7 linked regions of the Oryctolagus cuniculus genome follow. The protein of the gene in region 6 binds, or shares a complex with, the protein of the main gene of each other region. Links are inferred from orthologs where the notes say so. Each region holds a gene or a part of one and is shown on either strand. Other genes may lie near its edges.

Region 1 (2,725 bases), on a different chromosome or scaffold from region 6:
CCTGGGAAAAGCAGTGTAAAACGGTGCAAATATTTGGGCCCTGTAACCATGTTCAAGAATTGGATGAAGCTCCTAGCCTTTACCGTTTGGGGAGTGAACCAGAGAATGGAAGCTCTCTCTCTGTGTCTCCCTCTCTCACTCTTTTTCAAATAAATTTTCAAGAAAAAATATGAAAACAACCCATTACTGAGAGTGGACACGTTATGGTATATTGATCCAGTGGCTAATATTGAACAGTATAAAAGAATTAAAGTTTCATATATCAATGAGGATACTGACAAGAGTAAAAGCAACTTTTACAGCATTATATATGCTACTCATAGGTTTAAACCATGCCTATCAGCTATTGTTTATGGATACACAAACTTTCAGCAATTGGAAAACAGAATGATTGACATTAAATCCAGGACAGTGTCCAAGAGATGAGGGAAGGGAACGCGGAGAACGTTTATTTGCAGAATTTATCTCTTAAAAATCAAAACAAAATCAGGACAAATACGGCAAAATGTCAAGGTTTGATACACCTAGAGGATGAAGCCAAAGATATACCTTATAAATTTTCCACACTTTAGGAATGAATTGTCAAGCTGAAAAGAGCAAAACAAAACTGCTTTTTAAAGTTCTTGCTCTCCGGGCAGCGTTCCTCTCTTTGGCTGTAGTTGTCTCTCTATCCCTCAACTGTTTTTTGGAGAACACAATCTATCAGGCTGTACGAATATCCAAAAAGGATATCCTAAGATAAGTATGGGTTTGTTTTTTCCTCAAGTATTTCTACCGCCGTGAATTTTAAACCAAAAGGTAAAACATAAAGCGAAAATCAGATGCAAAGGAGGAGCCAACCGAAGGCAGACGCGTCGCCGCGGGAACAAAGCCTTTCCCGCGGGCGCTAACGGCTCCGAAGGGGACGCGGGCGCGCGCGGCACCTGGCCGAGTGCGGGCCGGGGTCGTGGGGGTCGGCGTGGAGTCGCCGGGGGCCACCAGCCCGAGAGGCGAGACCGAAGGAGTGTGCGCCGGGGGCGCCCAAGCGACTCGGCCCCGGGGCTGTGCAGGGTCACCGAACGGGAACGGCGGCCCCGCTAGAGCGTGGGACCAGAGGTCGCGTCTGCCGACCTCAGTAAGCCACCCGATTGTGAAGGGGCTACCGTGCCGCCTCGTCAGCGCCTAATTACACCAAGGGTTTATTTTCTTGGTTGCCTGTGCCACTGGCCCACTGGCCCACTTTCTCTTAGCACCGGGCCGACAACGCATGCTCCCCGCCTCTGGGGTTCTGCCCTCCATTCAGCTCTTAAACCGCGGTCTCGGAAGAGACCACAAATCCCAGCATGCAAGACGCTACGTCAGTACAGGGCCACCCACGGACCACCAAGTGGACCATCATGCAACGCTCTCCGAGGGCGGGGGGCGGGACTCTGTTAAAGGGGCGGGACAGTTTCAGTGTCGCTAGGGCAACTCCAATACGGCTTCAAAATGTGCTTCCGCTTCCGCGTCCTCCGCCACTCCGTCGCTGTGACGCAATTTCTCTGCGACTGAGCGAGGCTGCCGGTTCCGTGTGCTGGCCTTTCTCCGGCGGGAAACCCGAGACCGGTTCCTAACCCTCGTGCGACTTCTGACTTCGGAGCGAAAGGGAAAGCGGCAAGATGACAGACCGCTACACCATCCACAGCCAGCTGGAGCACCTGCAGTCCAAGTACATCGGCACGGGCCACGCCGACACCACCAAGTGGGAGTGGCTGGTGAACCAGCACCGCGACTCCTACTGCTCCTACATGGGCCACTTCGACCTTCTCAACTACTTCGCCATCGCGGAGAATGAGAGCAAAGCGCGAGTGCGCTTCAACTTGATGGAGAAGATGCTGCAGCCTTGCGGCCCCCCCGCTGACAAGCCCGAGGAAAACTGAGACGGCGCCTCCTCCAGCGAGCCTCCCGATCGCCGGCGTTGCCCGCGCGTTCCTGTCTCCAGTGGACTGGTTCTTCCGCGACTCCTTGCTTCTCCGGCCTTCCGGGTGCAGAAGTGCTCGCCGAGGTGTCCCGCCGGTGCTGTCTTCACGTGGATCCCTCGGGACGCAGCACCAGGACCGCCGGGGCTCCCTGAGAACTGCGGGTGAAGAGGTCCGAGAGCTGGCGGGCGTTGGGGAAGACGGCACTGGAGTGAGGGGATTTGGAGGCTCGTGTTTGACTTAGTTGATTGTCGCGTTGCCTTTTTCATAAAGTTTAGAATCTGTTAAGTCTCTTGGTGTGATCTGTTTGTGTTCCAGGGGAGAAGGCTGGGGAGGACTCGGAACCAAAGGTTCTGTGCGTGTGCAAGTAGGAGAGGGTGGGTGGAGGGCACAGAACCAGCCTGCCTTGCCAGGCACTGAAATCCGCCCAGCATGCCCTTTGGGGAGCTTCAGAAAGCCCCTGGAAGGTTAAGCCTCCGCCTGCAGTGCCAGCATCCTATATGGGCAGCTGGTTGGAGGCCTGGCCCCTGCACTTCTGATCCAACTTCTTGCTAATGCTCCTGGGAAAGCAGAGAAGGGTAGCCCAAGTGCTTGGGCCACAGGCACCCATGTGGGAGACCCGAAAGAAGCTCCAGGTTTCAGTCTAACCCAGCCCTGGCCATTGCTGCCATCTGGGGAGTGAACCAGCAGATGGAAGATTCTCTTTCTCCGACTCTGTATTTCTAACTTTAAAATAAATGAAATTTTATTATTTTTTTTAATTTTTTTATTTTTGACAGGCAGAGTGG
Region 2 (3,500 bases), on a different chromosome or scaffold from region 6:
GGCGCATGAACGGACCCTACACACAGACATTCTCTTTGGGCTGATCAAGGATGTTGCTCGCTTCCGCCCTGAGCTCAAGGTCCTCGTGGCTTCAGCCACGCTGGACACTGCCCGTTTTTCCACCTTCTTTGATGACGCCCCTGTCTTCCGAATCCCCGGACGCAGGTTTCCGGTCGACATCTTCTATACCAAGGTGCCCTGCCCAGGGAGGATGGGCTTGAGTCCGGGTTGTCCCAGGGAGGGAAGTGGGAGGTGGGACAGAGCATGTGTCGAGCTGGGAAGGGAGGAGGGGTCTGCCTGAGCAGGCGGCCCTCCTGCGACCACATCTCTCCCCCCAGGCTCCGGAGGCTGACTACCTGGAAGCCTGTGTTGTGTCTGTGCTGCAGATCCACGTGACGCAGCCCCCCGGGGACATCCTGGTGTTCCTGACAGGACAGGTGTGTGACGTGCAGGGCCCGGGGAGGGGCTATCCCCGGGCAAGACAGTGCGGGCACGTGGGCCTTCGGTGACTGGAACCCCTGCTGCTCTCCCCACCCCCAATGCAGGAGGAGATCGAGGCTGCCTGTGAGATGCTCCAGGATCGCTGCCGCCGCCTGGGCTCCAAAATCCGGGAGCTGCTGGTCCTTCCCATTTATGCCAACCTGCCCTCCGACATGCAGGCCCGAATCTTCCAGCCCACGCCCCCTGGGGCACGAAAGGTCAGTTGTGAAAGCCTTACTGCGCACCTCTTGCTGTGCACAAATGGTAGTGAAAGGGAGGGTGGCTGCCTGACCCATACAAGGCGTGTCCTGGGCCCAGCTGCAGACGCAGGCTGAGGAGCAGCCAGTCCCTCACTGCAGGCTGGAGAGAGAGGATGAATACCGCAGGACTGAGAGCGAGCGCACGGTCGGAAAGGAAGTACTGCAGGGAAGGGAAGCCCGGGTGTGCCAGCAGGAAGGATCTGGTGTGGAGCTTTCAGAAAAACCCCTGGGGAGGTCACTGGAAGGCCAAGGTGGGGCTGCGGTGAGGGTGAAAGCCACTGTGCATGGAGATTAGGGAGGCCTTTGATGGCAGGCAGGAGAGGCTGGGCTTTCGACTTTGAGTAGAGCTGTAACTCACTCCACATTTAGTGTGTCCCTCCAGTGTGCCAACCACTGTTCCAGGGGCTGAGGATACAGTGGCAGAAAAACAAAGTCCTTAGCCTCACAGAACCCACAGTGCGATGGGCGGAGATAGCGGACGCGTGAAAGTATGGTGCTTACTTCCAGCAAGTGCTGTGAGGAGACGCAAGGCAGCATAGAGAGCTGAGACCAGCCCTGGGGGCGGGGAGTGGGGAACAGCAGGAGGGCATTTCCCTTACAGTACAGGGGAGGAAGTGGAGCAGAGGCCTACACCAGGTGAGGAAGGGAGCAGCTGTTGCACAGGATCTGCCAGAGGGGTGTGCTGGGGGGTCCAGGCCTGGGCAGTGAGAGGGGGCTGAGGGCAGAAAGGCAGCCAGGGCCCAGGTTCAGGGCTTTAGGGAACTTAGCTTTATTTCTAGAGCAGGATAGGAAACCATTCAGGCGGTCTGGGAGAGTGGTATGACAGGTTTGATTTATTCGTGTATTTGGGAAACAGAGCTGCCATCTGCTGGCTCACTCCTCAGATGCTGCGGTGGCAGGGGCCGGGCTGGGGCTGAAGCTGGGAGCTGGGAGCTGGGAATGCAGCCCAGGTCTCCCCTGTGGGAGGGAGGAGCCCCGTTACATGAGCCATCATCACTGCCTCACGGGGTCTGCATTGGCAGGAAGCTGGAGCTGGCAGTTGAACTCAGGTACTCTGACAAAGGATGTAGGTTTCTGAACCTCTAGGCTAAACGCCTGCTCCAGGTTTACATTTTAAGTGGGTCACTCTGGATGCCATGTGACAGGGACTAGCAGTAGGAAGAGGGAGACTTGTTAGGAGGCCATCGCAGGAAGTGGTAGCATGAAGAAAATCAATAACGTGGTGCAGGGGAGAGGGGGGGCGGGCGTCTGGAAACTTCCACCTCGCCTCCCTGAAGGAACTCCAAGTCCTCTTCACATCCTCCCCTCTTCAGGCCTTTGCTGACCGTCCCCACCACGGCCCTCCCACCTTCTATGGCCTGGCCCCTCCCCTGACCTCGGCCCTGGTTCCTCATCTCCCGCCCCGCCTGCCCCTGCTTCTCCACTCCTAGCTTCCCAGGGTTACGTTTGCTCTTTCAGGTGGTTGTGGCAACAAACATTGCCGAGACGTCGCTGACCATTGAGGGCATCATTTATGTGCTGGATCCAGGCTTCTGTAAGCAAAAGAGCTACAACCCCCGCACAGGCATGGAATCCCTCACTGTCACACCTTGTAGCAAGGTCAGCCTGGGTCTCTGTGGGCTGGAGAGAGGTGGAATTATCCTGCAGGGAGGGTCAGCCCAGAAGCAGCTTCTTAGAGGGTGGGGGACAAGCAGTCTACAAATGCCCAGGTTTCTTGTGTACATACCGCCCTTGAACTGTCAGATTGTCAGCCAGCCTCTCCTTTCTCTGCAGGCCTCAGCCAATCAGCGGGCTGGCCGCGCGGGCCGGGTGGCCGCGGGGAAGTGCTTCCGTCTGTATACCGCCTGGGCCTATCAGCATGAGCTTGAGGAGACCACGGTGCCTGAGATCCAGAGGACCAGCCTGGGCAACGTCGTGCTGCTGCTCAAAAGCTTAGGTGACTGGGCTACCCCAGTCCTCCTGAGTGGAGGGAGGTGGGGCTAGAGTGCCTGGTCCTGGTGAGAAGGTCCTGTTCTATTCCCATGCCCTTCCCCAGGGATCCACGACCTGATGCACTTTGATTTCCTGGACCCTCCACCATATGAGACCCTGCTGCTGGCTCTGGAGCAGCTGTATGCTCTAGGAGCCCTCAACCACCTCGGGGAGCTCACCACGGTGAGATGGGAGGGCAGGAGGAGGGCTGGGGGCCCTGGGGACCGCTGCAGCGGTGCAGGGAAACCTGAGGGAGGATTGGCTCCGATTTTCTCTTTAGTCTGGTCGAAAGATGGCAGAGCTGCCAGTGGACCCCATGCTGTCTAAAATGATCTTGGCCTCCGAGAAGTAAGTCCTCCCCCACCCCGCCTTGGGGCTCCAGCACACACACTGGCCGTGCCTCCCCTGTTTCCATGGCCATCTCTCTCTGTATTTCTCCATCATACTGTCCTTTAACAGTAACGTAATTGGATAACCCTCACTGCCCTTTTTGAGGCCCATAAGGGTCACTAATACACTGTCCTGTCGTTGGTCATGGTATTAAATGGGCCAGAGCGACAGGAAATCCGGGAGCAAGAGTGAGCACAGAAGTGGAGGCTCTTTTCTCTGTGAGGGGTGCCGAGGGAGGGCTCATTCTGGAGCTGCCTCCGCTAAGGCTTCCCGCTAGAACATTCAGATGTGACTGTGGAGGGACCACCTTGAAATGCCGTTCTCCCGCTGCGGTGTAGGCCACAGGTCTGCCCAGTGCACGCAGCCCCAGAGATCCCCTGTGGATACCCCTCCTGGGAA
Region 3 (2,111 bases), on a different chromosome or scaffold from region 6:
AACCGGGACAGAATCCGGCGCCCCGACCGGGACTAGAACCCGGTGTGCCGGCGCCGCTAGGCGGAGGATTAGCCTAGTGAGCCACGGCGCCAGCCTTTTTTTTTTTTTGAAAGGCACAATTACAGAGAGGGAGTGAGAGTGAGATCTTCCATCGCTGGTGCAGTCCCCAAGCGGCCGCATGGGCTGAGGCTGGGCCAGGCCAGAGCCGGGAACTGCAGCCACTTCCGGGTCTCCCATGTGGGTGCAGAGACCCAAGGATTCGGCCATCTTCTGCTTTTCTGGGTGCATCAGCAGGAGTTGGAGCCGAAGTGGAGCACCTGGGACTCGAACAGGCAACCATATAGGATGCCGGTGCTGCAGGCTATGGCTTTAACCCGCTGATCCACAGTGCCAGCCCCTTCTTATCCTTTTTTTTTTTTTTCTTTTAATCCCAGGACTGGCATCTGTGTACTGCGGGTTAAACTGCTGCCTACAACACCTGCGTCCCATATGGGCGCTGGTTCAAGTCCCAGCCACTCCATTTCTGACGCAGCTCCCTGCTGACGTGCCGGGGAGAGCAGCAGAAGCTGGCGGAGCACATGGGCCCCTGCCACTCAGCTGGGGGGCCCAGAGAAAGCTCCCAGCTTTGCCCAGGCCCAGCCTGGCCGTTACAGCCATTCGGAGAGTAAGCCAGTGTGTGGAAGGAACAATCTTTCTCTCCATCTCTCTCTCTCTAACTCTGCCTTTCAAATAAATAACTGCATCCTTCAAAAAAAAAAAAAAAAAAAAAAAAAATCCCTGGACCGCTGCTGTGTTGTAGTGGGCTAAGCCTCCACCTGCGACGCCTGCATCCATACAGGCACCGGTTCAAGTCCCGGCTGCCCCTCTTCCAGGCCCGCTCTCTGCTGTGGCCCGGGAGTGCAGTGGAGGATGGCCCAAGTGCTTGGGCCCTGCACCGCGTGGGAGACCCGGAGGAAGGGCACTTCCGGGCCCACTCTGGACGCCTGCCTGCTGTGTTGGGTTCAGTCCTAGTTCTGCTCCCGGCCCAGTGGTCCCTGTGAGGCGGCAGGTGGTGGCCCAAGTGCTTAGGTCCCTGCCACCGCGTGGCACTCGGGTGTTGCTGGCATCTGGGGAGTGACCAGCAGGCGGAAGCTCCCCCGCAGTTCCTCGGCAGCACCGCTGTCTCCGTCTCGGGGAGGAGGACACAGGCGCAGGGGGGGCGGGGGCAGCGGGGGCTGCAGGGCGGCTGTCCCTTCCCCACGCCCAGCACGGCTCGGCGGGGCGGGCCAGAGGCTCCCCTTGACCCTGCCCCCCCCCCGCCCCCCGCAGGCACTGCAACATGGTGCTGGAGAACGTGAAGGAGATGTGGACCGAGGTCCCCAAGAGCGGCAAGGGCAAGAAGAAGTCCAAGCCGGTCAACAAGGACCGCTACATCTCCAAGATGTTCCTGCGCGGGGACTCGGTCATCGTGGTGCTGCGCAACCCGCTCATCGCCGGCAAGTAGGGCGCCGCCCTGCGCCCGCCCCGCCCTGCGCCGGCCCCGCCCCGCTCATCGCCGGCAAGTAGGGCGCCGCCCCGCCCTGCGCTGGCCCCGCCCCGCCCTGCGTCAATAAAGCCCCAGCGTGTTTTCTAGCGGGTCTGTCTGCTCCAGCGCCTCGCGGGCGGGGCGCACCTGGGAGAGGGCGGCCACCGGGCTGGGGCCAGGACCTGCGGGGGGAGGCCGGTCTGCGCCCCGCCTGGCTCACTTCCCCGTCCACAGCAGCCAGTCACGTGGGAGTGGCCGTTCAGTTCAGGCTGGCGCGAGTTCTGTGCGCCTTTCCCTGGCTCTCCTGGTCTCCCTGTCGCCCTCTTCCGCCCCCTGCCTCTCAGGGCTTTGTCCTTGCCCGGGTTTCTTCTGGACTTTGTTTGCATTCGTGCCGACAAGGCAGGGGCCTCCTGTGTGCCCCGCCCCGTGCAACAGTGCCCGGGACAGCCCTGGACCCGCCTCAGCTGGGTGTCGGCGCTGTCAGCCTGTGTGTTACGTGTTGCACAGGAGGGAACTGAGGCCCAGAGAGGCAGCGTCACCCCCCAGGGGCACCCAGGCAGGACGTGGTGGTGCCAGGATCCACACCCACGCCTGTGGCTTCGCCGCT
Region 4 (3,500 bases), on a different chromosome or scaffold from region 6:
ATGTTTTGTAATCAGTGGACACCATTGAAGCATCCTTCCCAGCTTCTTCCATGACCACTGCCAAATGCTGTAGTCAGTCCTTATGCCCCTTTACTTCTCTGCCTGTCTTTAGCAGTTGGTCACTTGCTCACTGTGACTTCTCACTTTATCCTTAGTCTCCGTCTCCTCCTCAGCTGGCCTCTCCAGTGTTAAGGTTCACCTGAGGTCTGTCCTGGGTTCTGGATGCTATCTGTGGGCTATTCCATCCACTTCTCCTGGCTTCATATACTTACTGACTCTGGTTCCTGTCAGTTGTACCAGGCTCAATTCCTTTAGCAAATGGCACTGTAGCCACATCTCCACTGCCATCGTGTCAAGCCTGTCTGGCTGTTGATGTTTCTTTATTTCTGTTTCTACAACTGGCAGTCCCCTCTCTTTTTCATCTGTCTAGCAAACTCTTAATCATTCTTTTTATAATAGTTTACCTTTTTCTATGAAACGTTTTCCTGACTCCATCTAGTAGTCATTCAGTGTGGCACTCAGAATTGATCAGAACCACAGTACATTGTTAATGTTTTTCTGTTTGCCCTGCTCTGTAAATAGAGTAATTCTATGCAGTCCTCAATCCTAAATGTCTCCCTTTTGTTGACTCCTTCCTCATATCTCTCAGTGTTGTGTACACATGCCTGTGTATATATTAAAATACAAGCGGGTTTTTTTTAAATCTTAAATACGGGGGCTGGCGCTGTGGCTTAGCAGGTAAAGCCACACAGGCATCCCATATGGGCACTGGTTGAAGTCCCAGCTGCTCTACTTCCTATCCAGCTCTCTGGCTAGAAAACAGTAGAAGAAGGTCCAAGTCCTTGGGCCCCTGTACCCATGTGGGAGACCCAGAAGAAGCTCCTGGCTCCTGGCTTCGAATTGACACAGCTCCAGCCATTTTGGCCAACTGGGGAGTAAACCAGCGGATGGAAGACCTCTCTCTCTCTCTCTGCCTCTGCTTCTCTCTCTGTGTAACTCTGACTTTCAGATAAGTAAGTAAACCTTTAAAAAATTTTATATATGTATACCATACACACACATATATGTATGTGTCCATGTGTATTCTTCTGTGTTGACACGAGTGAAAAGTTTTTAAAAATTCAGCTTAGTATATTATTACTTGACCCTACTCATTTCATTTAGATAGCAGGTAGCATAACCTAATAAGAGGCATACACCACCATTTATTATTTCATTTGTTTATTTAATATACTGGAAGTCTGCAAAATAACTGTAAGGATTTTTGTCTTTTTGTTCTCTTCCATTCATTTTTTTTTCTTTTATAGAACCCTACAGCCATTCTTTGAAGGGTTGTTACCCCGAGATAATCCAAGAAACACTCGATTTGCCATCAACTTCTTTACTTCTATAGGTCTTGGAGGTTTAACGTAAGAATTTTGTTTTCACCTTACACAATTACCTTACAGTTGCCTTTGAGACAGAATCTAACAGACTATGTTTTTAATTAGGGATGAATTGCGTGAGCATCTCAAAAACACACCAAAAGTCATAGTGGCTCAGAAACCAGATGTTGAACCAAATAAATCCTCCCTGTCTTCTTCGTCATCAGCGTCCTCCTCGTCGGAGTCCGACTCCTCTGACTCTGACTCTGACTCTGACTCTGACTCTGACAGCAGTGATAGCAGTTCAGGGTCCTCCAGTGAGGAGAGCGATTCTTCATCCTCCGGGAGTCACAGCTCGGCCTCAGGTATTGAAGCTTCTCCATAACCTATCCTGCTCTTTGCTAACAAGCGTATTGCTGGTGGTATTTATAATGACGGAAGAAAGTGATTGTATTGTATTGCTTGTTTTAGAGTTGAGTTGTTTAAAGCTTTAGTTAATAATATGCACAATCATCCGTCACTATTACAATGTGTTAGTGTATTACAGCATCTACAATGCCAACATTACCTGTTGGAATCCTCTTCATCGAAGCCAAGATACTTCATGGGCATGTGTTTATCGTGGTGTCAACTTAATATAATGTATAACAGTTGCCTGATGCTTTTATTTGAAAAAAAAAAAATGTTTTGGCTTTTCTTCTAATAGCAAAGCTTTATTTTAGTGATTGACATATACCACACATGCAGTGCTTGTCCTGTGTGCTATGTGAATAGCTAGCACTCTGGCCAGAATTTCTCCTTGTTCCCTCTCCCAGTAACTGCCCTCCCTCTGGCCTATCTGCTACTATTCTGATTTGTAATTCTATAGATTCGTTTTGTATGTTGTAACTTCAGAACTGTGCATTACGAATCCTCTATGTCTGACATTTCTTTCAACATTACGTTTGTGAGATTCTTGTATAGAATTGCATTTAGGTATAGTTCATTCATTCCTGTTACAGTTCTCTACTTCATGAATATACTGTAATCCTATTATCTTTTTAGTCAGTGGACATGTAAATTTACAGATAGTGTTCCCATGAATACTCTTGTACATAACTTTTGCTGATCATATATACACAGATAGTCCCCAACCTACAATGGTTCATCTTAGGAGTTTTTGACTATGATAGTCCATATGCATTCCATAAAAGCTGTACTTTGAATTATGTATTTTGATCTTTTCCTGGGCTGGGGTAATGCCATACATTGCTCTCATGATGCTCAACTGTAGGCTAATGTTGAGTATTCTGAGCACATTTAAGATAGGCTAAACTAAGTTATGTTTCGGAGTTTAGTCATTTTCATCTTGGTATTTTTAACTTGGAATTGATTTATTGGGACATAGCCCCATCATTGGACAAGAAACGTTTGTGTATATGTGTGTATGTGTGTGCACATTTCCTTTGGGTATATACCTACAGGTGGTATATCAGATAATATAGCATGTAATTATTGCTGATAATCAGATGTCATAGCATGTGTTTGTGTTTGACTTTAGTAAATACTATCAACCAGGGTTTTTTTTGTTTGTTTGTTTTTAAAGATTTTATATATTTGGGGCCGGCGCTGTGGCTCACTTGGTTAATCCTCCGCCTGCAGCGTCAGCATCCCATATGGGTGCTGGATTCTAGTCCCAGTTGCTCCTCTTGCAGTCCAGCTCTCTGCTGTGGCCCGGGAAAGCAGTGGAGGATGGCCAAGTGCTTGGGCACCTACACCCACATGGGAGACCAGGAGGAAGCACCTGGTTCCTGGCTTCGGATCAGCATAGCTCCAGCTGTAGCAGCCATTTGGGGGGTGAACCAACGGAAGGAAGACTTTTCTGTCTTTCTCTCTCTCTCTAACTCTTATTTGTCAAATAAAAAAAAAAAGATTTTATATATTTATTTGAGAAGTAGAGTTAGAGCAGTGAGAGGGGAGACAGAGAAAAAGGTCTTCCTTCCTCTGGTTCACTTCTCAAACCACTGCACTGCCAGAGTTAAGCCAATCTGAAGCCAGGAGCCAGGAGCTTCTTCCAGTCTCCCACATGGGTGCAGGGGCCCAAGCACTTGGGCCATCTTCTGCTGCTTTCCCAGGCCATAGCAGAGAGCTGGGTTG
Region 5 (4,080 bases), on a different chromosome or scaffold from region 6:
AAATCCTTTCAGGACTAAACTCCTGAGTGAAGAGAGATAAATATTCAAACTATAGCACCATGTGATCCATGCTCACTTCATTTGTAATAAGACATATCAACATCACAAATCCCCTAGTATGATATAGTTAGAAGGGCACATCATTTCTGCATCATTTTTTGCCAAACATTCATAACCTCAGTCCAACAATGAGAAATCATCAGACAAACCTATCTGAGGAAGGTTCTACAAAAAAATGAACTGTACTTTGCAAGAGTTAGAAGTCAAGAAAGACTGAGAAGCTGCCACAAGACTGAAGAAGAGAAAGGAGGCATTGCAATTATATTGCAATATGTGATCTTAGGTTTAATTCTGAATTCTGGAACAGAAAATTGTCTACAGCTAATAGTATTGCATCATTCTGATTTTGATAATTATACTATTGTTATATAAAAAGCTTAAGAGTATCTGGATAAAAGATATAAAAGAACACTACTTGGGGCTGGCACTGTGGTGCAGTGGGTTAACGCCCTGGCCTGAAGTGCCGGCATCCCATATGAGCACCGGTTCGAGACCTGGCTGCTCCACTTCCTGTGTAGCTCTCTGGTATGGCCCGGGAAAGCAGTAGAAGATGGCCCAAGTCCTTGGGTCCCTGCACCCACGTGGGAGACTGGGAAGAGGCTCCTGGCTCCTGGCTTCGGATCGGCACAGCTCTGGCCATTGTGGCCATCTGGGGAGTGAACAATTGGATGGAAGACCTCTCTCTCTCTCTCTCTCTCTCTCTCTCTCTGCCTCTCCTCTCTCTGTGTAACTCTGACTTTCAAATAAATAAATCTTTTTTTAAAAAAAAAGAACAGTATTACTTCGCGACATGTAAGTCTAAAAGTATTGCTGAATAAAGATTTTTTAAAAATTTATTGCTCTGTTTTGAAAGTTACTGTAGCTGTTCCTTTGGGAGTTCAGGGCCCATCCCAAGATGCCCAGGGTTTCTAAACTGGAAACATAGCCATGAGATTGTTAGAATAATGGAATACCTGTTTTCAAGACCATTCTCTAAAACAAGAAGAAACGAACTCCTGGGAAGAAGGAATCTACCTTCTACCGCTACCGCCTCTTGGCGGAACTACAGTTCCCGGTATACTTGGCGCAGGCGCATTCCTGTGAAATTCAGACGCGCTACAATAACTTCCTACGGCTAGTTGTTTGGTTTCGTCGGCCGACGCCGCAATGCTTTTTGGGAAATGTAGTTCTTGCGCTTGTCTGACTGCCGCTAGCGAATTGAACCCAAACTAAACTTCCCAGCAAGCAGCGCACCAGCCTGGGAACTGGGGCAAGATGGCAGACGCCGAAGATGGTGTTTTGCAGCCGACTGCACCTTCTACTGCCCCAATTTCATTCGCCTTTACTCGTACGTCCTCTCGGAGGCGGCTGGTGGCCCTAAGTGATGGCGCAGAGTCCGCCCCAGAGGAGAAGGATTTCTTGAAGACCGTGGAAGGGAGGCAGCTACAAAGGTGAAGCGCCGGGTCTTTCGCCCCTTGTAAATCGGTGCCGTGGGTGCGAGCGGGAGGACTCGAGTAGTTTGCTTTGATGACAGTGGCCTGGAAAGCCTGAACCACGGCCTCAGGAAATCCGTGGAGGAGAGAAGGCAGGAGCTTGTGGGAGAAGTAGGGAAGTTGCTTTTCATGGCCGTGTGGACTGAGAAGATGTATAAGGATACTTCAGAAAGTTCGTGGGAAATGCGCATTATTTCAGTATTCATTTCCATGGACTTTTTGAAATGCCCTCACATTCATGACAGGGAATACCTTTATGATGCTGGGACACTCTGGTGTGTGCGTTCAGATAAGTGGGAAAGAGGGAATAATTACAGGACCCTGTTGTCTCAGCTAAAGTGAATGGGGGCGACTCTAATACGGGGAACGAGATGGAGCTGCAGATTCAGGTTGAGGGAGGCCGCATCAGCATCTTTAGGAAAGAAGAGGCTGAAGTGCCTGAGGGAGGGACTCGCAGAAGAGAAGCAACCGCCTAGGAGGCTGTTCTGGAGCTGGGAAGAGTCTGGCTGCAAATGGTCATCTGTAGTTCTTGGGATGAACAGACGGCCTGGCAATGATTCCTGGAAGATACTGTCATTTAAGGGCTGGAGGGACAATGACGTGCAATCAGAGGCATGGTCCATGGAGCTAGGAGGGGGCTTGGCTCTTGTGTTTCTCTGCATAGGGGGGGTGTAGCTGGAACCCACGGACCCTGCTTCTCTCCTCACCTTACCTTTCTTTGTCCACATCAGTGTGAAGCCCTCAGAGGTCCCCAAGGAACCTGTCATTCCCTTGATTCAGAATGGCTATCACAGGCAGCCCCTGGTCCAGCCCTCTGGGCTATCCACAGACACCAAGACCTTGATGGATGAGGTGCTGTCCCAGGCTGTGAAGGAACTGATTGAGGGTAAGTGGGCCCCCTCTCCCCACCCTGCTCCAGTGAAGAAAGACAAGGAAGAAGGTGGAAGATACATGGGGTGGGACCTCATTGCTCCCTCCCATTCTTCCTTAGAAACCGAGAAGTCCCTGGAAGAAAGAAAGAATGCAAATGCCGACTCCATGCTCACTATCCCCATGATCCAGAAAGGATACACCTCCAACAAGGAAGGGGTAGACAGCGAACACTCAGCTGAAACTGTGAGTTGGCCCCTTACCCCCTTGCTCCCTTGGTTTCTCCTTGCCCTGTCTGCCATGCATGCCTTCTTACACACAGCAAAGAAAGTCTGTGTGTACACTGGAGGCCTACTGCCTAGCTCTTCCTCCTTCCAGCCTTTTTGGGAACATTAACACATGAATCCAGATATTGGAATATGAAGTTGGATCCTAGGATTGTCTGAATGGGGTGAGAGGCAGAGGGAAGAGGAAATATAATAGCCATGAGGGTGGACACTGCCTGGAGTGTTTGACAAACACCAAGGAGACCAACGCGGCTGGACTGGAATTAGTAAGAGAAGTCAGGTGGCAGTGGAGGGGGTGCGGCGAGACCAGGCAGGGCTTTGTGGGTCATGATGAGAACTTTGGCTTTTACCCTGAATGAAATGATAGCCATGGGTGGGCCCTAGGCAGAGAAAGGATGCGACTTATGATTCAACAGAATCTACTGTGAACACAACAGACTAGTAAGTGAAGGTAGAAGCAGGGAGCCCAGCAGTCTAGACCAGAGATGGTAAGGACTCAGATCCAAGTGGCGTGAGAGAAGGCGAGGTAGGGTTTAGCGAGAGAGGCAAGAGCAGGGTGAGTATTCCTAATGGTAGCAGCTGCCCGAGCAGGCCATGGCAGGAAGGCTGTGTGGTGTGTCTGTTAGTGAGACAACTTGTGTGTCTGGAATGAGTGAATGAAAGGATTGAAGGAGTAACGACGGGAAGCGACCACAGGAAAGGGTAGCGGCAGGGCCATGGAAGTAAGCAAGTCTGTCCATATCTTGGACTCGACTTCTCACCTGTTCATTCATAAGTATTTTGCACTGCTTCCTCAGGGCCTACTTCTCCTATGGCCACAGAGCATCGACCATCCTGGCTTTAACTGGGGTGATTAGAAGTGAACTCATCCACCTTCATTTGTGCTCTGGTGTCTTTCATTAAAAAACAAACAAAGACCCTCCATTTACTCTTCATCCTGTTCCAGCTCTGGCCTTGTTTCTCATTTTCCCTCTGACAAGCCCCCTCCAGCAGCCTTCCACCTGTCAATTGATCACACTTCCATAGTCCTTCCTCTCCCTCAGCTCCAAACCTTGCCGTCATCTTTGCCCCTCCCTCTCTCTGTCATACCCCCACGTATGATCTGTCAACGCCGTCTTTGCCTTTTTTCTAAATGCATCCAGAATTTCACTTCTCATCACCACCAGCACCGCACATCTGGACGACTGCAGTGACTTTCTCGCTGGCCCCTCATGTGACCTCCACCTGCCTGCAGGTTGTCTGCCTCCTGCACCCAGCTCTCCTGATTGACCCCTTACCCATGCTCCTCTGCCCCCATGTCCCTGTTCCAGTCATGTTGATTTTCATAATACTCTTCACACACACCGAGTTTTGTTTGGCCTCAGAGCCTTTGCTCTTACTGTCCTCTCTGC
Region 6 (3,500 bases):
TAGTAATGTCCAACTTTCGTTTCCTGGAGCCCTGCGGTTCCTTCAAAGGGGCTTGAGGGGCACTGTGTTAGTATGGTCTGGGGTGAATGGCAGGCGGAGGTTGTAAGGTGTAGCATTCACTCTGTGTCTAATTCTATTTATTGAAAATTTGAAATAAAAATGTTCCACCCAGTACCAGTGGTGAACAAGCTGAAAATCACGACCTGGCCCTTGTCCAGCCTTTCCATACCCTCACAGCCCCTGCTTGTGCTGGGCCTAAGTTCTCAGCACACTCTGAGCACATCATTTCTCCTTGCCACGTTACTTTCCAGTTCTGTGTGCCTGGGAGGAGCACACCTTCCCACCAGCCTTGTCCTGGTAAACTCGGCTGTCCTCATGTTCTCCGTTCTGGAGTTACCTCCACTTAGCTCATTCAGCAGACATTGCCATTTCTGTGTCTGCTTCCTCTGCAGGACTCGACTGTGACCTGCATTGTAATCACACACGTGTTTATCTTTCCATAGATTTTGTAAGCTATTTGAGAACACCATCTTTTCGTTTTTTTATGCCCCAAACCTGACTTACAGTAAACACCCAATAAAACATCAGGGCATTGCCGGTAGCTTGATGTAACTGCCATGCATTGTCTGTTCTGCTTCTGAGACCCTCACTTCTTGCCTCCTCAGGGCTCGCTCCATATACGAGCGTGCTTTAGATGTGGACTACCGAAATATTACGCTCTGGCTGAAGTATGCAGAAATGGAAATGAAAAATCGCCAGGTCAACCATGCCCGTAATATCTGGGACCGGGCCATCACGACTCTGCCCAGAGTCAACCAGTTCTGGTAAGTCCTGATCTAGCAGAGCAGCCTCTCAGACTGGAAAATGCTGTTGTGTTTGTTTTACTCACACAGTTTATTGTTTAGATTAATGTTGCAGTCTACTTTTACTTTAAACATCCTGTAAGAGCTTTATAATGCCTTATAGTTTATTAACTCATAATCAAAACGTTTAATAGCTAATCACATGTGATCAAAACTAAAGTGCTAATTGCAATCATTTGTGCCTAAAAACTTCACATTTAACTAGCAACTTTTAAGAAAAAAATGTTTTCCTAATAGTTCATCTTGTTCAGATTTATATTTCATTAAGAAAATGTTTGCATTAACCGTTAGGAAAGATAAAACCTTAAGTTTTTTCATTAAATAAAGGGAGAACTAGAAATTGTCAAAGATGGTGTTTGCACTAAGACGCTTGGAGTACAACAGGTGTCTTGGGTCACTGTGTTGAAGGTACAAGTACACGTACATGGAGGAGATGCTGGGGAACATTGCGGGTGCTCGCCAGGTGTTTGAGCGCTGGATGGAGTGGCAGCCCGAGGAGCAAGCCTGGCACTCCTACATCAACTTCGAGCTGAGGTACAAAGAGGTGGAGCGGGCCCGCACCATTTATGAACGATATATCCTTTGGATGAGCTCTGAGTGGTGCACTGCCCTGGGGGCAGCTCTTGTCATGGCCGGGACACAGAGTCGTTAATGGGAAGTTCCAGATCCTCAGACTAGAACCAGCGCCCATATGGGGTGCCAGCGCCGCAGGTGGAGGATTAACCTAGTGCACCACGGCGCTGGGCCCTAAACCCATCTTTAAAAACACAAGTCTCACGGCCGGCGCCGCAGCTCACTAGGCTAATCCTCTGCCTGCGGTGCCAGCACCCCAGGTTCTCGTCATGGTCGGGGCGCCGGATTCTGTCCCGATTGCTCCTCTTCCAGGCCAGCTCTCTGCTATGGCCCAGGAGTGCAGTGGAGGATGGTCCAAGTGCTTGGGCCCTGCACCCGCATGGGAGACCAGGAGGAAGCTCCTGGCTCCTGGCTTTGGATCAGCGCAGTGCGCCGGCCGTAGCGGCCATTTGGGGGGTTACCAACAGAAGGAAGACCTTTTTCTCTGTCTCTCTCTCTCACTGTCTAGCTCTGCCTGTCAAAAAAAAAAAAAAAAAAAGTAAAAACATAAGTCACAGACAAAACAAAAATATAATGAATTCCTTAAACTCCTATTATGTTAAATTTGGAGGCAGCTTTAGACTTTTCCTGGTGGTCACCACTCACTGAGTTCTTCTAATAGGTAATAACAACTCCAGACAAGCAGCCTGTGTGTATTCCTAACACTTCACTTACATTTAAGGCTAGAATAAGCCCCAAGTAAAACAGTGAAGATGTATATAGAACTGGTAGTTCTTACATGATTTTAAATCAAGATACATGAATTTAATGTACTTTAATGTAGGCAAACTATCCATTTCTTGTCCACTTAACTGTTGTGAAAATAGCATCCCTCTCCTACACACTGATTTCTTGACCCAAATGGAAATACTTAACCTAAGGTCAAGATGGGAGAGAGATGACTAAGATGAATGTCCATGGCTGGCGCCACGGCTCACTAGGCTAATCCTCCGCCTGCGGCGCCGGCACACCGGGTTCTAGTCCCAGTTGGGGTGCTGGATTCTGTCCCGGTTGCCCCTCTTCCAGGCCAGACTTCTGTTGTGGCCCGGGAGTGCAGTGGAGGATGGCCGAAGTGCTTGGGCCCTGCACCTGCACGGGAGACCAGAAGAAGCACCTTGCTCCTGGCTTTGGATCGGCGCTATGCGCCAGCCTTAGCACACCAGCCGCGGTGGCCATTGGAGGGTGAACTAACGGCAAAGGAAGACCTTTCTCTCTGTCTCTCTCTCTCACTGTCCACTCTGCCTGTCAAAAAAAAACTGCAGGGGCCAGCACTGTGCCATAGCAGGTAAAGCCGCCACCTGCAGTGCCAGCATCCTATATGGGCGCCAGTTTGATTCCCAGCTGCTCCACTTCCGATCCCGCTCTCTGCTATGGCCTGGGAAAGCAGTAGAAGATGGCCTAAGTCCTTCTGTCCCTGCACCCATGTGGGAGACCTGGAAGAAGCTCCTGGCTTTGGACCGGCACAGCTCTGGCAATTGCGGCCAACTGGGGAGTGAACCAGAGGATGGAAGACCTCTCCCTCCCTCTCTCTCACTCTCACTCTCTGTCACCCTGACTTTCAAATAAATAAATCTTTAAAACAAAACAAAAAACCCTGCAGAGCAGCTTTAGGACCAGTGCCCTTAACACCTTTTGCCATGTGTAAATGTACTACTTTGGAAATCAACGACTTCTTCAAGGAAGTGAGATTAAAAATAGTTATGTTCTGTTAGATAAAGTGGCAATGTAAAACATATTCCTTTGGCTCTAGTTAGCAGTGTTATTTTTGTGGCTTGTTGTTTCTTCTTTAGTTGTTAGCTCAAATAATTTTTTTAAATTATTTAAAGGGAGAGGGAGAGGGGTGGGGGTGGGAATGTATTTGCTTCCATCCACTGGTTCACTCCACAAATGACTGTAATGGCTGGGGCTGGGCCAAGCTCAAGCCAGGAGCCTGGAACTCCATCTGGGTCTCCCAAGTGGATGTGGGGGCCCAGCTACTTGGGCCATCATCCACTTCTCTCCCTGGCACATTTGCGGAGAGCCAGA
Region 7 (4,009 bases), on a different chromosome or scaffold from region 6:
GAGAGAGAGAACTTCCAGCTGCTGGGTCCCTCCCTATATGGCCACAATGGCTAGGGCTGGGCAGGCTGAAGGCCGGAGCCAGCAGCTTCTTCCAGGTCACCCATATGAGTGCAGGTGCCCAAACACCTGGGCCATCTTTCACTGCCTTCCCAGGCACATTTGCCAGGAGCTGGACCAGAAGTCGAGCAGTGGGTAGCAAGGGCATAAGCACTCCTGGGCTGCCTTTCCTAGACAAGCAGCAGGGAGCTGGATCGGAAGTGGAGCAGCTGGGTCTCAAACAAATCCCCATATGGGGTGCCAGCATTAAAGGTGGCTTTACCCTCTATGCCCCAACACTGGGCCTGTTTTGCTTTTCTAAAGCTGAGAATAATTATAGCTTTTGTATTCATGATTAAACTACCCAGGTTAAATAAAATTTCAGTTATCTTTGCTGTTAACTGAAGTTGTATCCTTTCTCTGTTGGATCTGAGTTTGAGCAACTTCGATCTACAATAAGTCCTTTTTTTTTTTTTTAGACTTTTTAAACTTTTTATTATTTATTTCAAATAGTTACAGAGAGAACGGTAGAGACAGAGAGAGAGTTCTTCTATTCGCTGGTGCAAGGGCCAGAGCTGCACCGATCCAAAGCCAGGAGCTTCTTCCGGGTCTCCCACATTTGTACATGGGGCCCAAGGACTTGGGCCATCTTCTACTGCTTTCCCAGGCCATAGCAGAGAGCTGGATTGGAAGAGGAGCAGCCGGGACTAGAACTGGTGCCCATATGGGATGCTCGTGCTTCAGGCCAGGACTTTAACCCGCTGTATCATGATGCGGGCCCCTACAATAAATCTTTAATTTATCCTTTTTTGTTTTTCAAGTAAATTTTGTTTATTCATAAACATAACTTAGTTCACAAAGGTTTTTTTTTTTTTTTTTTTTTTTGGACAGACAGAGTGGATAGTGAGAGAGAGAGAGAGAGAGAGAGAGAGAAAGGTCTTCCTTTTGCCGTTGGTTCACCCTCCAATGGCCGCCACGGCTGGTGCACTGCAACCGGCATACCGCGCTGATCTGAAGGCAGGAGCCAGGTGCTTATCCTGATCTCCCATGGGATGCAGGGCCCAAGCACTTGGGCCATCCTCCACTGCCTTCCCGGGCCATAGCAGAGAGTTGGCTTGGAAGAGGGGCAACCGGGAAAGAATCCGGCGCCCCGACTGGGACTAGAACCCGGTGTGCTGGTGCTGCTACTTGGAGGATTAGCCTAGTGAGCCGTGGCGCCGGCCGTTCACAAAGTTTTTAAAAATTTTGTCTGCAGACTTTTAACATAAAGGCCTAAGAGTGACAAGCAGGTGTCGGGGGAATATATTAAAAACAAAAGTATCTTTGGTGATTAAAAAAAACTTGGAAACCTATTATTCTAATTATTTTACAGGGTTTTTCTAGTTGCAAAATATTACAAGTCAATGAAAAAGAGAATATTTGTAGCTTTGTTTCACTAAGTGTTGAATAGGGTCATCTGGGCAAAGACCACAAAGATTGTGAGCAGGGACAGAAAACCTTTGGCTGACTAGAGGAGTGAGAGAAGGGAAGACTGCCAGTGTTAGCAAGGATTGATCAGAAGTGTCTGTTCATATGTGGGGAGAAAAATGGGAAAGAGGCAATTCTTGACAGAGTGATATAAGCAAAGATATGAAAACATGATAGTGCAAGTCATTTTTTAGAGACAGTAAATGCATCAGTTTAGTATTAAAAGATGATGAGAAAGTAGTTTGAGGCTAATGTATGAAGGCCTTTAAAGATAAAACTGGGTGCTGGTGTTGTGGCCTATGGGTTAAGCTACTGCCTGCAGCGCCAGAATCCCATATGAGTGCTGGTTTGAGTATTGGCTGCTCCACTTCCAATCCAGCTGCCTGCTAATGCACCTGGGAAAGCAGTGGAGGATGGCCCAAGTGTCTGGGCCCCTGCACCCATGTGGGAGATCTGGAAGAAGCTCCTGGCTCCTGGCTTCAGATCCGCCCAGCTCTGGCCATTGCGGCCATTTAGGGAGTGAACCATCGGATGGAAGACACTTTCTCTTTGTGTGTGTTTGTGTGTGTCTAACCCTACCTTTCAAATAAATAAAATCTTTAAAAAAACATAAAAACTTAACGCCTTGGGAAAAGTTAACAGCTGCAAGTGTGATGGTGCCATGAAGATTCCAGTTCTGTGAAATGACTATTGACTTGCTTGAGGATGTCCTGTATTTTCAAGTATAAAGAGTGATGTCTGGTGCTTGAAGGTATTAACTTTTTTTAAGGTATTTAAGCGATAATCAGAGAGAGATTGTAGTGATAGACAACCAAGCGGGAACCTCATTTTATTAAAGTTTTTAAACAATACCTTACAAAATTTTGTGTGTGAATGAATTCTCAGTAAATCCCAAACAGCTTCTCTCAGTGCTAAAAACTGGCTGATAAGTGCCGTTGAATTCTTTGTAAACCTAACAAAACTTAACAGAATTTCTCATTCTGGGAAAGAAATGATTTTCTCTATGTAATTTCTTTAGAAAACTGCTTGAGAATAGTTCATTATTATGTGTAACAGTGGTCAGAAATATTTCTCTCCATGGTACAAAACAATGACTCAACCAAAACCTAGGAATGTAATCAAAATGCACCCATACTATTAGGTACAAGTTCAGACAGTCCCTGTTTGCCCTCCTTTTTATTACTCCTTCTTACCCCATTGTGGTTTAGCCTGACTAATCTATTTGCAACACATCAACATTCTGCAGAAGTTTTGTAGTTTCTATTTGAAGGGAACAAACTGGAGGGCTGTGGAAATTTCAGATTTCATCTCAGATAGTATTTGTTAGTAGTGTGTGTGTGTGTTTGTGTATTCTTAAACAACAATCCTTTTTTAAAAAGTTAGTGTCACTTGAGAGGGAGGAGAGACAGCCAGAGAGAGGGAGGGAGAGTGAGAAAGGGTGCTCCCACCTGCTAGTTCACTCCCCAAATGTCCCCATCAGCCAGGACTAGGGTGGTTTGAAGTTGGGAGCTGGGAAGTCAGTCCAGTTCTCCCACATGAATGACAGGGATCCAATCACTTGAGTCATCACCAGGAAGTACATTATTAGGAAGCTGTAGTCAGGAGCCAGGGCCAGGAGCACCTGGGAGGTTTTATTTATTTATTTATTTATTTGAGTGGCAAAGTTATAGACAGAGAGAGGGAGAGACAGAGAGGTCAGTCTTCCATCCACTGGTTCACTCCCGAAATGGCTGCAACAGCTGGAGCTGGGCCAATCTGAAGGCAAGAGCCAGGGGCTTCTTCTGGGTCTCCCATGCAGGTGTTGGGACCAAGAACTCTGGATATCTTCCACTGCCTTCCCTGGCCACCAACAGAGAGGAGCAGCTGGGACACAAACCAGTGCTGCAAGTGGAAGCTTAATCCACTAAGCCACAGCGACAGCCCCCCTGTAATGTCATTTAAATGAAGCGAGGAATGAAGGCTTCCTCTAGAGGAACAGCCTTTAAATGCAGAAAAGGGAGCAGACGTTTAGCCCAGTTAAAATGCCGGTTAAAGACATCTCTGCCTGATATCTGAGTACCTGGGTTTAGCACCTGGCTTTGGCTTCTGGCTCCAGCTTTCTGCTAATGTAGACCTGTGTGGCAATGATCATAGCTCCAGTAATTGGGTCCTTGCTATATGTGGGAGACCCAGATTGAGTCCCGAGTTCCTGGCTTTGGCATGGCCCAATCCTGGCCATTTTGGGCAGTTGGGGAGTGAACGCCACTGGATAAAAGCTCGCTCTCTCGTTCTCTCTCTGCCTCTCAAGTTTAAAAAAAATCAAAGAAGAAATTAAAGAGGACAGTGGCCTTGGGGACAGGGAATGGAGTGTGCTTGGCATATAATTTAATATGTCAGCAGAGAAGAGTTCCACAGTAAGCTGGAACAGCCCTGCTGATGTAATGGGTATAGTCTGAGGGAACGGAAAAAAGATCGTTTAGCAGAAGGAAAAAAAAAAAAGATTGTAGTATCCTTAGAAGGCCTTGAA

What was found.
Region 1: CRNKL1 (region 6) and SF3B5 share a complex: the UniProt entries of both Homo sapiens proteins name them as parts of the minor spliceosome. The link is inferred for Oryctolagus cuniculus from reciprocal best matches to the Homo sapiens genes CRNKL1 and SF3B5.
Region 2: CRNKL1 (region 6) and DHX16 share a complex: the UniProt entries of both Homo sapiens proteins name them as parts of the minor spliceosome. The link is inferred for Oryctolagus cuniculus from reciprocal best matches to the Homo sapiens genes CRNKL1 and DHX16.
Region 3: CRNKL1 (region 6) and SNRPD2 share a complex: the UniProt entries of both Homo sapiens proteins name them as parts of the minor spliceosome. The link is inferred for Oryctolagus cuniculus from reciprocal best matches to the Homo sapiens genes CRNKL1 and SNRPD2.
Region 4: CRNKL1 (region 6) and CWC22 share a complex: the UniProt entries of both Homo sapiens proteins name them as parts of the minor spliceosome. The link is inferred for Oryctolagus cuniculus from reciprocal best matches to the Homo sapiens genes CRNKL1 and CWC22.
Region 5: CRNKL1 (region 6) and GPKOW share a complex: the UniProt entries of both Homo sapiens proteins name them as parts of the minor spliceosome. The link is inferred for Oryctolagus cuniculus from reciprocal best matches to the Homo sapiens genes CRNKL1 and GPKOW.
Region 7: CRNKL1 (region 6) and BUD13 share a complex: the UniProt entries of both Homo sapiens proteins name them as parts of the minor spliceosome. The link is inferred for Oryctolagus cuniculus from reciprocal best matches to the Homo sapiens genes CRNKL1 and BUD13.

Annotation. Positions count from the first base shown.
Region 1 is NC_091436.1:24,439,438-24,442,162, forward strand, and holds SF3B5 (splicing factor 3B subunit 5), read left to right. Parts: upstream 1-1,493; 5' UTR 1,494-1,637; coding exon 1,638-1,898; 3' UTR 1,899-2,225; downstream 2,226-2,725. UniProt on the Homo sapiens protein: Component of the 17S U2 SnRNP complex of the spliceosome, a large ribonucleoprotein complex that removes introns from transcribed pre-mRNAs.
Region 2 is NC_091436.1:139,773,299-139,776,798, forward strand, and holds part of DHX16 (pre-mRNA-splicing factor ATP-dependent RNA helicase DHX16), read left to right. Parts: coding exon 1-193; intron 194-338; coding exon 339-437; intron 438-545; coding exon 546-698; intron 699-2,198; coding exon 2,199-2,339; intron 2,340-2,513; coding exon 2,514-2,676; intron 2,677-2,775; coding exon 2,776-2,894; intron 2,895-2,991; coding exon 2,992-3,059; intron 3,060-3,500. UniProt on the Homo sapiens protein: Required for pre-mRNA splicing as a component of the spliceosome. Contributes to pre-mRNA splicing after spliceosome formation and prior to the first transesterification reaction.
Region 3 is NC_091449.1:11,279,628-11,281,738, forward strand, and holds the end of SNRPD2 (small nuclear ribonucleoprotein Sm D2), read left to right. Parts: intron 1-1,308; coding exon 1,309-1,483; 3' UTR 1,484-1,611; downstream 1,612-2,111. UniProt on the Homo sapiens protein: Plays a role in pre-mRNA splicing as a core component of the spliceosomal U1, U2, U4 and U5 small nuclear ribonucleoproteins (snRNPs), the building blocks of the spliceosome.
Region 4 is NC_091434.1:61,123,408-61,126,907, forward strand, and holds part of CWC22 (pre-mRNA-splicing factor CWC22 homolog), read left to right. Parts: intron 1-1,307; coding exon 1,308-1,409; intron 1,410-1,490; coding exon 1,491-1,729; intron 1,730-3,500. UniProt on the Homo sapiens protein: Required for pre-mRNA splicing as component of the spliceosome. As a component of the minor spliceosome, involved in the splicing of U12-type introns in pre-mRNAs. Promotes exon-junction complex (EJC) assembly.
Region 5 is NC_091453.1:34,252,582-34,256,661, reverse strand, and holds the start of GPKOW (G-patch domain and KOW motifs-containing protein), read left to right. Parts: upstream 1-1,280; 5' UTR 1,281-1,314; coding exon 1,315-1,490; intron 1,491-2,263; coding exon 2,264-2,418; intron 2,419-2,523; coding exon 2,524-2,648; intron 2,649-4,080. UniProt on the Homo sapiens protein: RNA-binding protein involved in pre-mRNA splicing. As a component of the minor spliceosome, involved in the splicing of U12-type introns in pre-mRNAs.
Region 6 is NC_091442.1:44,666,546-44,670,045, reverse strand, and holds part of CRNKL1 (crooked neck-like protein 1), read left to right. Parts: intron 1-665; coding exon 666-824; intron 825-1,271; coding exon 1,272-1,438; intron 1,439-3,500. UniProt on the Homo sapiens protein: Involved in pre-mRNA splicing process. As a component of the minor spliceosome, involved in the splicing of U12-type introns in pre-mRNAs.
Region 7 is NC_091432.1:108,946,649-108,950,657, reverse strand, and holds the start of BUD13 (BUD13 homolog), read left to right. Parts: upstream 1-1,209; 5' UTR 1,210-1,240; intron 1,241-4,009. UniProt on the Homo sapiens protein: Involved in pre-mRNA splicing as component of the activated spliceosome. As a component of the minor spliceosome, involved in the splicing of U12-type introns in pre-mRNAs.